2 linked regions of the Alligator mississippiensis genome follow. The protein of the gene in region 1 purifies or fractionates together with the protein of each later gene. This does not show direct contact. Links are inferred from orthologs where the notes say so. Each region holds a gene or a part of one and is shown on either strand. Other genes may lie near its edges.

What was found. Proteins that work in one complex are often made in the same cells at the same time.
Region 2: the proteins of RPP25L (region 1) and IBTK purify together in Homo sapiens (co-immunoprecipitation; 3 studies listed by BioGRID and IntAct, with this or other methods). This does not show direct contact. The link is inferred for Alligator mississippiensis from reciprocal best matches to the Homo sapiens genes RPP25L and IBTK.

What each region holds. Positions count from the first base shown.
Region 1 is NC_081826.1:299,908,026-299,915,465, forward strand, and holds the start of RPP25L (ribonuclease P protein subunit p25-like protein), read right to left. Parts: upstream 3,207-7,440; 5' UTR 3,117-3,206; intron 640-3,116; 5' UTR 629-639; coding exon 71-628; 3' UTR 1-70. UniProt on the Homo sapiens protein: May be a component of ribonuclease P or MRP.
Region 2 is NC_081824.1:71,274,103-71,282,160, forward strand, and holds the start of IBTK (inhibitor of Bruton tyrosine kinase), read right to left. Parts: upstream 3,166-8,058; 5' UTR 2,994-3,165; intron 1-2,993. UniProt on the Homo sapiens protein: Acts as an inhibitor of BTK tyrosine kinase activity, thereby playing a role in B-cell development. Down-regulates BTK kinase activity, leading to interference with BTK-mediated calcium mobilization and NF-kappa-B-driven transcription.

The sequences.
Region 1 (7,440 bases):
CTGAGTGTTAGTGTTCGAGGAGCCAGTGTGTTTTCTCATCCCGTCGGTTGCTTCTGTGAACGTCTTTGCTTCAGGGCTTTTTGCAGGACTCCCCACGCTCGCCAACAGATCTGGGGTGCTTTCCTGTGCTGCCGGTCCCCCTGCCCGCCCCCTGCTTCCTCTTCATTTGGCCCTGGGATTCTGCCGCGAGCGTCTCAATCCAGAAGGCCTCGAAAGAGCCTGGAGCCTGATAACCAGGCTCTTGGGGATCGAGCGCATCTTTGCTCAGCAAGATGCATATGGCAGGGATGTTCCTCTTCACTGTCAAGGTGTCGAGGCCCGCCTCGGGCACGATGGGCTCCCAAATCTCTTCAATCTGTCTGAAGAGCACTTTGGTGACCTGGTGGAGTTCCTTGAGCCTCCGCTTCATGATTTCCACGCAGGTGATGGTCTTGCCGACAGCTTTGCCCGAGCCAGTGAAAAGGATCTGCCTGACAGCGTCCGCCTCCATCTTGCCGATGGCATAGCCCATCAGGTTTCTGATCTTGCTGCCGTCCTTCACCTTCATCTCGATAATGTCTGAGGGCAGGTTGGAGAAAGGCAGAGGACAGGGCTTCTCCACAATCTTGCTCTTTTTATAGTTCTCCATTGCTTCCAACACTGCAAAGGAAAGCACAAATTGGTGATTATCTCTTAATCATGATTCATGAGGCTGTCTTAGAGGGATTCGTCTGTTCGTTCCTAGCCTCGTGCCAAGCAGCCTGCGGGGAATCACTGCTTAGCACAACATGCTCCGACTCTGGACATGGTTGAAATACCTACCCGAAGTCAGGAATGGCAACGGTGCTTTAATCCATAAATCAGGTATTTATATTGTGTTGCCTAAAGTGCTACCACATGCTCTACAAACGAAGGAAAACAGTCCCTGCCTTTCAGCCATTCGCCCGAGAGCCATCAGACAGTTTCCAGCACTTACAACCATATGGCATGCAAGCGAAGAGTAATCCCAGACATCCCAAATGCCTCCGCTTCACATAACTCCCTTTTTAAAATCTGCTGTACAGGTGTTTAACTAATCAGACTGGAGAATTTAATTACAGTCATAACTTAATTGGATGCTGTCAAAGCTCAGGGCCAGGGATTCTGAGAGAAGATGGTCATGCAAAGCAGTAATAGACATGCTTTAATTAAAACATGCTGAGGTATTAGATAACGCGCTGCAGATACATTTGGAGCCAATCATTCTCCTGCATTTAGCCCAAGCAGTCGCCCGTGGGAGATGCAACAGGAGAGCCAGAAGCTGAAGAGAACCAGCGCTGCTAGGTTTATTTGCCCATTGTAGCCTATTTTGTTTGGACTGTAAACCTCCCGAGCCTTACGCATACGTCCAACAGCTGGAGAAATGGTCTGAAATCAAACGGACGAGATTCAGCAAGGACAAGTGCCAAGTCCTGCACTTGGGATGGAAAACCGGCGCGCACAAATACAGACGGGGGAGCGAGGGGCCGGGCTGCAGCGCTGCAGAGAGGGACCTGGGAATGAGTGGGCCATAAGCTGAATAGGAGCCAACAGTGCGCTCTCGCTGCAAAATAAGCTGTCTCCTGAGCTGTACAAACATGCAAATCAAGGCCGGCGATTCTTCTGCTCCGTTCAGCACCGGGGAGGCCTCCCTTGGGGCCCCGTGTCCAGCCTAGGGCTCCGCACTTGGAGGAGGACGGGGACAGTTTGGACGGAGTCCAGGGAGAGTGACAGAAACGACGGGGCCTGGGCGGCGAGGCTGGCGAGGACAGGCTGAAAGAGCTGGGGGCATTTAGCCTGGAGAAGAGAAGGCTGGAGGGGGGTTTGATCAGTTTGCAAATCCCTGAAAGGCGATGACAGGGAGGATGGAGGTGGGCTCTTCTCCGTGGGGGCAGGGCTAGGAGCAACGGGCTCAAGCGGCTGCTGGGGAAACTGAGGCTGGAGACGAGGAGGAACTTGCAGACTCGGGGGGGTCAGGCCCTGGGACAGACTAACAGATGCTGTGAGCTCCCCATCCTCCGACGTGTTCAAGAGCAGGGTGCACAGACCTGTGCCGGGGGGGGTTAGCAGGGGCCGGACTTGATGGGACCCCATGAGGTGCCTCTCAGCTCAGCTTCCCTAGGACCCTGCCAATTACAGATCAGCGGTTCTCAGCCTCCGCAGACTCGAGAGAGACTCAAGGCCCCCCTGGAAGATGCCAGATCTCCGCTCCCATTCACTTTTTCCCCCCATTATGGAAAAATATTATCGCAATTTATAGAAATCCTAAAGCAGCGGGGGGGGGGGGGGGGGGGGGGGGGGGGAAGGGAGCAGATGTCAGGTCCAGTCCAACCCCCGCCCGAGGCAGGCTCGGCCCCGCGCAAACCCGCCAGCTAAACCGGACGGCCGAACCCGCCACGCGTAAAGCAGGGGACCCGGCACCGCGCGTCCCGCCGCTATCACACGCAGTCGGAGCACGGGGGGATTGATCCCGAGCCCAGCGCAGCGTGGGGCGAGACCCTCCAGCCAGGGCCCCGCAGGAGCATGGGCACAGCCCGGCCCCGACTGCAGCCAGCAAGCCTCCCACAGGGGCTTAACCCCCTCCCACGTAGCAGGAAGGGGGGAGGGGGCAACCCCCACAGCAGAGCACGGCCATGCACTGGCCAGGGAGCAGGCGCCTGGGGCGGGAGTCACCAGCGCCAGGGGCCCCGACCGATGGAACCGCCCGAGGACCCCCCCATCAATGGAACGGCCGGAGGGACCCCCTGAACAATGGAACCGCCCAAGATCCCCCCCCCCCCACGGATCCATGGGACCGCCTGAAGAGCCCCCATGAATCAATGGAACCGCTCGAGCCCCACCCCCCTCCCGGATTAATGGAACCGTCCGAGGGACCCCCCCCAACGAACAGTGGAACCGCTCGACCCCCCCCCCCCCCCCGGATCAATGGAACCGCCCCGGGAATGAGTGGAACCTCCCGGACCCCCGCAGGACATCCGCGGGGCCCGGGGCATGAATGGAACCTCCCGCCACCACCCCCCGGCGGGGCAATGGCGCCGCCCGTACCCGCCCCCCCCCCGGGTGACAGCCGCGGAGACAGCCGCGGGGCCCCGGGAAGCGTGCTCAGAGCCCGCTCTCACCACTGCCGCCGCCAGGCCTCCCCGCCGCAACACGGCGACCACTTCCGGTGAGGGGCGAACACGCATGCGCACTCGGCCCGTGGCGAGCCCGCCGAACAGCATGCGCGTGCGCGAAGGCGGGCCGCGAGGGCGCATGCGCGAAGAGCGACCCGCCCCCGCCCCTACTCCTGTGACGCAAGCGGCGCCTCCGGCGCGGAGCAGCGGCTCCCCCTAGCGGGCGTCCCCCGCGCGCACAGCGGGGGCTGAGGATGGCGCAGGTCGTGCGCCTGCCATGGGCCGCCCGGCGCGGGGAAGGGGCCAGGCGGTCCCGTGCCCCCACCAGGCCCTCTGCTGCTGCACTGGGGCAGGCAGGGATTTCCCTCTGCTCACACTGGTCCGAAATGGGGGGCTTTTGCCTCCCTCTGCAGCAGGGGCACAGTCCTGCCTGGGTCCACTGAGCACCTCTGGCCCCCTTTGCAGCGGGACGTTGGCTGCCGCGGCCCCTGCTGCCCGTGGTGGGCTCGGGTGCGACGCCCGGGGCTGTCAGGGTGACTAGTCAGCCAGGGGGGTGGCCCGGGCTGGGCTGGACGTGACCCCTGCTCTGCAGGCCTCCTGCAGCCCCGCGGCTCTAGCACTCAACCAACTCAGCAACAGCCCCCGGCCTTCATCCTGACGAACCATGGGCGACTCCGGGCGCAGGGGCAGCAAAGGCTTTACCTGCAAGGAGGATGCCCCCACGCGGGTGCCCGGCTCTCCCTCCTCTTTGCCCCACAGCTCCCGCCGAGGGCCGGCGGCTGCGGCAGGTGTCTCTGCAAGTGGCAGGGGATGCTCCTCTTCCGTGAGCTGCGCTGGATGCCACCTGGTTTCCAGCTGGGTCCCAGGCTGTTAGCCTGACCTGCGCTGCCAATGCTGGAATAAGCCGTTCCCATCTCCGCTCTGCTCCCCCGGGGCCGTGTCTCGGGCATTTCCGCAGCGCTGGCACCGCAGAAACAGATTCCAGCGGTAGCTTTCCTGCAGCGACAGAAATGCGAGGGCTCTTCGAGGCCAAGCAGGGCCCTTACAGCCGGGCACAGGCTCTTCCAGAGCCCCGCTGCAGCAGCACCATCAGCTGGGGACTGCCTCGCACGGGTGCACGAGGGGACGTCTGTTCTCTGCCAGGCCTGCAGCTCCCTCTCGTGGGTGGTCGTGGGGCCGGCTGGAGGCACCGTGCGTTGGAAGTGCTGCCGCTCAGTTCACAGGCTCTGCAAGTGCAGGCTGGAGGGGAAAAGGGCCAGGCCCTGGGGTCTGTGCCCCACCCAGGGCCTGGCTACCAGGGAGAAGAGACTTCAAGCCCACAGAGGAGCCAGTCCAATAGGAAGAGGCGTCCAGGTGACAGGCACCAGATCTGAGCTGGGAGGATCAGTGTAGAGCCGGCTCCTGGGGCTGACTGTGCAGCGGTTTGATGCTGCCCTTGCAGAGGAGCTCGTGTGTGCCCACGGCCCAGCCCCCTGGAATCGCTCCAGCTGCAGGCAGCTCTGCATGGCTGTGGGGTAACAGCAGCCTGGGCCCCCCCCGACATGCCTCCCAGCCCCCGAGCAGGGTGCTGCACACGCCAGGGAAAACACGCTCCCTGCACGCACCAAGGAGGGGGATCTCACCAGACATGACACAACCCCACACCAGCCCCCTCCAGCCCGTCGGCATGCTAGAAGCAGAGACAGCTACGGGCAGGCCCCCTGACCGCACAAAGATCCGGTCTCTCTGCTGCCACTCGTTAAGTCCTGACACATTTAACTCTGTTGGGACCAGCATATTCCAGTCTGCAGGGACAAGTGGATTCCCTAAAGCTGGGCTGAGTCACATGTTGACCAGGCCTTGGTAGCCCATGAGGCCAGCCTAAGGCCAACTGGTCCTAGCCAGTAGGACTGTTGCTGCTGGTCCTCAACCCAGATGCCCACATACCAAACCAGGGCAGCTGGGGCAGCCTTCCACTAGAGCCTAGAGCAGAACTTGTAGCTAAAGCTAAAGCTGCAGAGCACCTGCTTTGGTCATCACACCAGGCTCAGACGGCAGCACAGCAGCGTAGCAGGCAAACTGAGTTATGCTATGGCTATTAGCCACGGTCGAGGCCCTCCCAGAACTAAGCAATGCAATTGTACAAAGTGCCTTATATAAGGCACTGGAAACAGTGAGTGCTGCGATTGGTACAGTCAGCGAAACCAGGTACAAGTTTCCCTAAAAGAAAACGAAACCAAAAACCGAGTAGGATTGGAGTACCTTATTTAAAAAGATACGGTATGGGACCCAAGGATTGGACAATTTGGGATGAGAAAGTTACAAAAGTAACGAACAAAGAAGGAAAAGCGTGTGTTTGTGCTGTAACTCTGGGGAGACAGGCAGCCATGGTTCTTTTCTTGAATAGCTGAAAAGCCAGAAACAAACATCCCACACGCCCAGCGGAGGACTCGAGGCCAGTACTACTGGTGGGGGAGGTTTGCAGCTGCTGCTGCCTCCTCGGATCCGACCATTGCTGTGGGATGCCTGGCTCGGTGCCTAGGGAGCAAGCTGGCTGGAGCTGGGGGCACACGAGGGCATGGCGATGCTGGCAGGAGCAGCGGGAAAGCTGCGCGAAGCCCATTTCCTTCCCTTCAGCACATCAGCAGGATGGAGAGTTCTGACCCCCACCCAGGGTCAGCCCGTGGACCTGAGGGCAGGTAGGTGGGCTGTAGCTCTGCAAGTGGCACGTGATGCTCCCACTCCATGAGCTGCACTGGATGCCACCCAATTTCCAGGTGGATCCTAAGCTGTTAGTCTGACCTGCAGGGCCCTATGCGGCTCAGAGCCCCTCGAGCTGCTGCTGTCCCTGTCAGGGGGAACTCACCACATCCAAACAGCAGGAGCTCCACGCTGGGCCCTGGCTGCAGAACCTGCTTCTGCTGCCAGGTGTGAAGGGTCCAGGCTGCCTGCCTGCAGGACGTGCTGCAAGTTCTCTCAGAGATGGGAGGCAGAGCTGCCGCAGGTGCTAGCACTGTCCAGCAGCAACTTTCAGGGAGGGCTGCTGGGCACTGCAGCAGCCATGGCTCCAACAAGAGGACACATACCTCCATGCCTCCTGAGAGGTGCAGAGGCAGGAAGAGGTTTGGTGAGGCCGGTATCAGAAGCCAGAGCTCCTGACTAGGGCTGTGCGAAACAGAAGCGTTGTTTCGACAGAACAGCATTTTGTTTCGACTTGTGTTTCGAGTCGAAACAGCTGTTCCATTTTGTTCCGTCAAAACGTTTTGCCGTTTCAATGTTTCACCCGTAGGATAGGAATGGTCCCAAACTCCTGGAAGATTGTTTCAGGCTCAATGTTAGGAAAAACGACTTCACAACTAGGGTGTCCACACTGTAACCGTTACTCCTGGTTTTCACCAAGGATGCCCTGGTGAACAGTTCACCGAGCCCTAGATGTACGTGCCCTGGTGAACACTTGTTCACTGAGCCCTAGATGTACTCCCCTAGTGTAGTGGTAAGCTGCTACCAGGTCCCCTCTCAGCCTTCTCTTCTTCAGGCTGAAGAGTCCTAGGTCCCTCAGCCTTTCCTTGTATGGCTTACCATGAAAGTCTCTGATCATATGGGTAGCCCTCCTCTGGACTCTCTCAAGCTTTACCACGTCCTTGCTAAGGTGCAGAGCCCAGAACTGGACACAGCACTCCAGCTGAGGTCTCACCAGTGCTGAGAAGAGCCGAGCAGAGCATGAGAATCACTTCTTTGCAATGGTTTTGCTGAAGATGCATCAATTGATGCATGCCAGTGTATTGTTGGCCCTGCTGCCTACAGCATCGCACTGCTGGCTCATGTTCATACTGTGGTCAATTATTAACCCCAGGTCTGTGGTGGCAAGTGATGGGGGATCTTTGGTCCTCCTGCCTGATGAGAGGCAGCGGTTGCACAAGCACCCATGTCATGAGATTTGCCTGTCAGCAGCTAGGGGTGCAGGGGCCCCAGAACCCCTGCACCGATCTAGACAGCTGGCAGGCATCATGGCCGCAGCAGGGGCTACCGTCCCTGCAGCTTCCACCCTGCTGTGCCTTAGCACACACAGGGTCACCCATGTCATGAGTTCTGCTTGTCCACAGCTTGAGGTGCAGTTTCCCTCAAACCCCTGTACTTATCTCCTTGAAACTTAGCAGGCTTTGTGGCCTCAGCAGGGGCTAGCATGCCTGCAGGTTTGACCCTACTGCGGATCAACACATACACGACATGAGTTTCGCTTTCAGGATTTTGGGGTGCAGTTTCTCCAAACCCCCTCCACCTATCTTCCTGAAACTTGCCACGCTTTATGCCCTCAGAAGGGGCTACCATTTCTGCAAGTTTTATCCAAATC
Region 2 (8,058 bases), on another chromosome or scaffold:
ATGATTTAGAAGATGACTGGAGTACTTTGCATTGTTTAAAAGATTAAAGATCTTTATATTTGGGATTAGACAAAAATGAGACACCAAAGTGATTTTGAAATGAATGTGCATCTCCTTCCTCGTATTTTATTTTAACAAACAGTGGGAATGCTGCAGGGGAAGAACATCTACCTCAAGAAAAGGAACAGGAAGTAGCACATTGCCCTCCTTCCTTTGATATCTGCTAAGCTGTCTCCACAGAGTTGGCAGCCCCAACCAGAAAGTAAGTGAGCAAGCTCCAGACTCAAGTCTCATTGCAGACTGTCATTAGAATGCTTTGTTGATAAGAACATTTTATAAGAATTTTTACCTATAAATTCAAACTGAGCTCAGGTGTAGCTTTAAATAAACATCAGTTTTAGCCCCTTTAGTTGAATGATTCGTACTTTCTAAAGTCATTTGGTAATAAATACAATACCTGCTTTGATACTCTGCAATCCAAAGAACAAGCCTTAAAGTTTAGTCTACATCATTAAAAAGTACTTATACAAATCTTTAACCCTCATCTTCCCTATTACTGGGGGATCATATAATCATCACCAAAATTGCAGCCAGAGAGGGACACAATAATTACAGCATATATCCTGACTTTATTTTGAAACAACTATATCCCAATGCTGAGCTGTCCTACTGCGCCCTACAGGATGTTCTTATAAATAAACAGAAAAATACAGACTAAAAAAAATTACCAGATCTTTGGACATGATTTTTCATTGAAAAATTATCAAGGATCTCTCAAATGGAGTATTCAATTCAACATTTTCAACAACCTGGATTGCAGAACAACATGTTCACTTACCAAACTTGTAAATGACCAAGCAGGGATGACCTGCAACTACTTCGGAGAACAAGACTTGAACTCAAGATGATTTTGAAAAATTAGATAAATGATCCAAAGATCAGCCAAATGAAATTTGGTCAAGAAAAGTGCGTTTAAAAAGAAACCAAATGTGTATATGCAAAATGGGCAGTAACTGTCAAGGTAATAGTTGCATGCAAGAGAATATGAGCTACCAATAATGTGAAGTTGCAAAATACATACCAGCAAGCCTCACTCTGGAATGCTTCAACCAAAGTGTTGTATATACAACCACATGGGGGAAGGAATCATCTCCACAGCACCTGTAATGCCTCAACTAGAATACCATGCCAGTTCAACCACCACTTTTTAAGATGGATGAGGGTCCAAATGATAAAATAATGAGCGTTAAGAGGTTTAGAAAACAATGACCTACAGAGAAAGGTTGAAGGAACTGAGTTTCTCTCTAGAAGAGAAAAGACTGAGGACACAGCAGCTGTCAAACATGGAAAGGGTTCTATTAAAGAGGAGTGATGAGTCGTCCTCCAGGTTCACTGTAGATAGGATGAGAAGTAATCAGCTTAATGTGCAGCAAAGAAGATTTACATTGGACTTGAGGAAATACTTTCTAACTATGAGGTTACGTAAGCACTGGAACAAGCTATCTATAGAGTTTGTAGAGTCCCCATGACTGAGATTTTTAAGAACAGGTTAAGTAAACATGAATCCAAGGTAGTCTAAGTACGTTTGCTACCTAAGAGTAGTGTTTTATTTCACCTTAAAGTTTCTCTGATCATAACACAAACAGTTCAAAATGCCAGGTAACATGCTCCAATTATTGTTTTTGTCACCAAGCAGCACATTGGCATAAAGTCTCCTTTCTGCCATAACTGTGGTTGGAGAAAGAGTAACAGCACCCCAGCAACTCCAGTCTCCTTATCCAACGTTCATTCCTCACTTTGTTAACCTTTTAATTATTAATGCACGCTATAGATAGAAAGGTTTGTATTTAATTCATAACAAAACATAAAAATGCCATTCATGTAAATTACAACACTCATTTAAATCATCCTGGAATGACTTCCACTTTATACATAGTCCATGAGCCAGTTAAAAAAAGATACAGCTATGGAGAAATTTTAAGTTAAAAACAAAAAAGAGCAATGGCACAACTGGAAATGGTCAAAACCATTCTGACTTCACACAAAAGCACAGCTGTTTTCCCTTCCCATTATTTGCCAGGACCAGGGGCTGGGCCTTTGCTTTAACTCTTCACATTCAAATTGCTCAATGCTGCTGACAAGTCAGATCTGTGAACCCCAAATATTATTTCAAAGATCCCCTGTACAGTCATTGGAGATTTACAGATGTGCTACCCGAAACATGAAGCTCTGAAGTCAAGCTGGTAAATGCTTCACCAAACATCCAGCAAAGTGAAACCAAATGCCTGGGGGCAGGAAAAAGAGGTGGATCCAGGGAAATGCACTTGCACCCTCCCCCTACACTTTGATTCCTGCTCCACTGAAACTTCAAAACCTAGTGCCTAGCAGCAGCACCATGAACTCTGTCCCAGCAGTGCCAAGGGAGACACTTGACTTCATGTATCATTATAAACCTACCTGATCCCTTCTAAACTCATCCTACCACTGGTAACAAACCTCTTCTTTTTAATCGTCTCCACGTACTCAGGGGCTGGCCTTTGTGGCTGCTTGCTAACTCTGGGAAAGACGCTATTTCACAGCCCTCTGCACTCTTTGTAACTCCTTCAGCAATTCGTTTTCATTTCCATCTTAAAAGGGAATAATCCACCTGACCCCTCCCACCATTAGCAAAGCTTCGATCTTATTTATACTGGAGAAAAGTGTGTCGTTTTACACGTGCTGACAGCACCGCAGCACCTGAACCCCCTTTTCAGGAGCCGAAACCCGCCTATGCCTGGGGAGGCTCCCGGAGTGCTTACGACGTGGCGCAAGGGACAGCAGCGGAAAGAGACGAGCAGGAGCAGCGGCGCCGCCAGCGCTGCCCCCGGGGCGGCCGCTGGGCCACTGCTCCTGCCCGGGCGGTTACGGCCCGTTAAGACGCCGGAGGTGGAGGGGGGACCTGACCGCCCCGCCCCACTCCGCCGGCCCGTGCAGCCCCCCCGCCGCCTCCTCACCAGTCGCTAGATGACGGGGCCAGGGCGGGGGGAACAGGCCGCGCGCTGGGCCTCACGGGGGCTCATCCTCAGTGGCGACAGCGCGGAGCCAGGCTACTCTGCGAGCCTGACCAGGGGGCAACTGCCACGGCTCCGGCACAGAGCTGGCACTAGCAGGGGATGAGCAACGGCCCCACCCCGCAACAAGGCCGCGCGGGATTGGCTGGAGCGCCGCACGTCCCGCGCGTCCATTGGCTGCCGGAAGCCAGGGCGCTGCCCAATGCCGCGGAGCCGGGCGGGACTGACGGGGTGGGCTCGGGGGACTGGACGGGAACCGGGACTGGACAAGCATTGGTGAAACCAAGCGCGCCGGGTTGTGCCGCTGCCCCTCCGACTCCCGCAGCTCCGAGCGGGAGCTTGGGCTTGGCCTAAGGAGCCCGGGGCTTTGCAGCGTGCGGCGAGGGGGCCGCCAGCACTTCTGAAGGAGCCGGAGGCACAGAGGCTTCCCCTGGCCGGGGGCAGCGGGCAGGTGACTCCTTGGGGACTAACTGCAGGCTGATGCGGTGCCTCCCTGCGCTGCCTCTGCTGACTTCAGGGGCGGGTGATAACTCCCTCCCATCCCTCAACCAGTCAGCAAGGGCGAGAGGAAACGTTGTCAGGCGAGAAGAAAAGCTCCGAAACCAGCGGCACTAAGAGAAGGAAAGCAAACCGCTGTTGTGGCGAAGAAGGCGGGGGCCTGGGGGTTTCTTTGCTTCCCGGCAGGGGGTGTCAGGCACCCAGGGCCCTGCCTGGGCCCCAGGCTGCCACCTTCCCAACAGCACAGGGGGCAGATGCAGGTGGCCAGAAACCTCTAGCTGGGCCTAGCAAGGGGTGGGCAATTATTTCTGCTGGAGGGCTGCTTAAGGAGGGTGGTGAGGGTAGCCCTGCCCTTTGACAGGTGCCCTGCCCCCTGGTCACCATCTTGGAACCAGAAATCCTGCCCCTGACCTTTGCCACCAGAAGTCCCTCCCCTTGCCATGGAAGTATATAAGGGTTGTGCACCAGGAACTGGGAGAACAGTTCACCAGGGCCCCCCCAAAGGATAACAAGGTCTAACGGCCACAAATTTCGGGAAGGCTGATTTAGACTGGACAGAAGGAAAAACTTCTTTACAGTCCAAATGTCCAAGGTCTGGAACAGACTCCCCCCAGAGGTGGTGCAAGCACCTACTCTGGGCTCATTCAAAAGGCGTTTGCATGCTTATCTTGCTGGGATCATTTGGCCCCAGCAGACTTCCTGCCTATGGCAGGTGGGCTGGACTCAATGATCTTGTGAGGTCCCTTCCAGCCCCTAATGTCTATGAAATCTATGAAGTACTCCTTTTTGGGAGGGGTGGGGGTTGCGATCGTGAAACTGGAAAAAAACGAATCGTATACTAAAAAAAAAAAAAATCAAATAATATCTACTATAACATATTTTAAAATAAAATTAAAATATTTTTGCCCTGTTGTATGTATTTTGGTGTAGAGGTGATTGCATAATAGCTCAAAATACAGTCTTACTCTTGTATGTTGTGTCAGGGGGGAGGGGGATAAGGGGACACATGTGGGGGCTGTGTGGTTGTGGAGTGATTATGGTAGGAGTGGGGGGCTGTAAGAGTGTGTGGGAGTATGATGGGGGAGTGTGGGAAAGTATGTGTGTGGATATAGTGAAGGGTGAGGGGGCTGGGAGTGTGTGGGGGGCTGTGGGAGGGTGTTGGTATGGGTTGGGGGTATGGTGGGAGATGGAGAGCCAGCCCTGCGCATCCTATCCTGACTGCAGCATGCAGTTTCGGCCTACAAGGCTGGAACCCATATGGTGCAACATGAGGCCAGCCTGGCCCAACCCATTCAGGCACAACACAGTTCTGGCTGCAAGTCCAGGACCCACATGGCACAGAACAGAGCCAGCCTGGCCCAGACCCTCTGTGCTGTGCCACATGAATCCCGGGCATGCAGCGGAGAACCACATGCTGCCCAAGAGGGGACAGGGTGGGCTGGGCTGGCTCCCTGCTGCGCTGCATGGTTCCCAGGTCCAAGGCTGGGACCTGCATGGTGCAGCACAGAGCCAGCCTGAACCAGCTGGCTCTGTGCTGCACCATGCAGCATATAGGTCCTGGCTGCAAAGCCTAGGACCCACACAGTGTGGCACAGAGACAACCCAGCCAGGCCTGGCCCATCCCAGCAGCATGCAGTTCTGCTCTGCATGTCCAGGGCCCACATGGCACAGCATGGAGCTGGCCTGGCTCAGCCTGTCTCCTCCCAGCAGCACATGGTTCCTGGTTGCAAGGCCAGGACCCACACAGTGTGCCATGGAGCTGACCTAGCCTGACCCAGTGGCACACTAGAGTGCCAGAACCATGGAAAGTCACATGCCATCAAGCTGAGCAAGCTCCATGCCTACACGCGGTGCTCCTGGCACTCTAGCCAGGAGTGGCACATGGAGGCACACAGCCAGAGTCCCACCACCCCCACAGAGTGGGACGATCTCCAGTGGTACTTCTCCCCCCGCCAGTTCTCACCTGACTTTCAACTCTCGGATGAGGGAGGGCTGGGGAACAGCCACAGGGTTGCCAGGGCAGAATTCTCTACTAGCCAGGAGCTTCTGGTCTCCAGAAGCTCTGTGGGGTGAGGAAGGGGCAGGGTAGGGCAGTCCGCTTTCAGACAGGCAGCCTCCAGCAGGTAATAATTATCTAAATTTTAGAGGTGCCCGCAAGCCTGATCGAATGGCCTGGCAGGTCGGATGCAGCCCACGGGCCATATTTTGCCCAGCCCTGGCCTAGCAGATACCCACTCGCTGCCAGAAAAGTGGTCTGCCTAGGTCAGCTGGCCCTTCACCTCTTCCAATATAAACCCCTGCCCTGGAAGAAGAAATGTCAGAGCAATAAGGTTCAGTCCTGTGTCTGGGTTGTACCTTCAGGTCATGCTGCCACTGGTTTCCTGACGGTCTCCAGGCCTGACCTGGCTGGCCTGTGGACCCCAAGCTTGGCCTGATCCTTTGGATATTTGACCCAATTCTGGTTTGATCTCCTGGATATGTGACCCAGCTAGTCTCCTGGCCCTGTGTTCTGCTCGACTCTGGATTTCTGACATGTTTCCTGGATGGATCTTCGGGCTTCCTGACTTGCCTACCTCTGATGTGGCCTGCTCCCCTCAGACCTCAGCTGTGTTTCTGACCCATAGATGATCCCCCAGACCTGGCTGCCTATGTCCTGGCTTGACAAGGGGTAAACATTAGAAAGGTGGTAGAACACCTTTGAAACTAATAAATGGGGAGCTAAAAGGTACAGAATAGGGCTCAGATTGAAACACCCTATAGGGGTGAAGCTGTGAACAATAAGCATAAGAAACAGACTAGAAGTATGCAGGTGAAATATGAGAACAGCATGAAAAAATAGATTTACTAATTAAACTGTCATATACAAGTGGCCACCCAGGCAACAATAAAAAAGATTTATATTTATATTCTTATGTATTCCTATTCTTATTTCAATAATTTTTTTTAAAAGATTCTGGCTTTTATACTAATGCCAGAATTCTAAGGTCCAAGACTGAGGAACTTGACTGCCTAGCAGTAAATAACAATACTGCCATACTAGATATCTCAGAAATGTGAAGTGAGGAAAATCAATTGGAAGATGTAATACCAAAATACAAGTTATACAGAAAGCTAGACTACATCAGGCACAAGTGCCAGAGTATGGCACACAAAGTCATTTTGTTTGGCATGCGCACATTGGGGCGAACAGCAGGGAATGGGCTGGGGCTGCACTGCCACAACAAGGATAGGGGCCCCCATGGCTCCCCCACCATCTGCCCCTGACACACCAACATCTTACAAGTCAAGGTTGCAGGTGTTTTTGGCACTCTGCCTAAAAACATTGCCGACCCCAGTACTAGATCGGACTGGTGGGGGAGTGGAACTCTACATCAAATGCTGCATTGACTCAATTAGGGTAGATTTGTTTTTTAACTGATGAGAGAGGTACCCTAGGACCTCTGTGGTTAGAAATGCTAAGTTTCAATAGAAAAAGTATAGCTCCCTTCTCCCCTCCCACCAGACCAGGCTAGAAGCAGCAAGGTAGAAATGCTAAGGGAGTTGAGACTGCAAAAGCAGAAAACAGAAATAATGGAGGCCTTAAACTATCCACAAATAGAGTCAATCAATCTGGCCTGGGCCAGCATGCACACGGCTTCCCAGTGGGACTGCTCCTAGTGTGGCTGCAACTGCCCAGGTATTCCTTGGTTCCCCCTGTCTCTACCAGTTCCTCCTCCTGCTGCCCCTGCTATACCGCTCCAGGCAGCAGGTAGCACAGGGAAAGACAGCAGCCATGGGAATGCCTGCTGGGCACCACACACCCAACCAGGCAGGGGGAAGCTGCTGCTGGGCAGCTCCTGCCCCAGTGTGTAGGGCTCCAGCTCCCAGGCACCTTCCACCTACTCTGCCCACCTGGTGTGATAAGCCACGTGGGTGGAAGGTGTCTCGGAGCTGGAGCCTTGTGTGCTGGGGCAGGAGCCACCCATCTGCAACTTTTCCCCTGCCTAGCTAGGTGTGTGGTGCCCAGCATGCATCCCCATGACTGCTGCCCTTCCCTGTGCTACCTGCTGCCCAATGTGTTGACCATTCAGTTCATAATTTGAACTCCCATCACTGGAATCTTGTTTTTGCAAATGGATGTCAAAATAATTGCATAAGAGTATATGACAAAAAATAGTTAACAACTTTTTAGTCAGGGCAGTTGGTCACTGTATTTAAAATCAGGAATTTCAGCTTCTCAGAGGTTTGTGTATATTTCCAGAGGCTGTCTTAAACCAGAGCACAATGTGATAAAATGATGACATTTGTAGACAATGTCATTAAAGCAACTTCTATTTAATTCTATTTAATCACTCATAGGATATAATATAGTAGTAATTGTTTTCAGTCCTTACTTTAAGCAAAACTCTTATTAAAACAGCTAAGAATTTTACCAAAGTAGGAACTTGAAGGACTTCTTTGTTTAATAGTATCACAAGTTAGAGATAACTTAAATCTACCTCTTAAGTAGAGGTGCATCAATATATCAGTC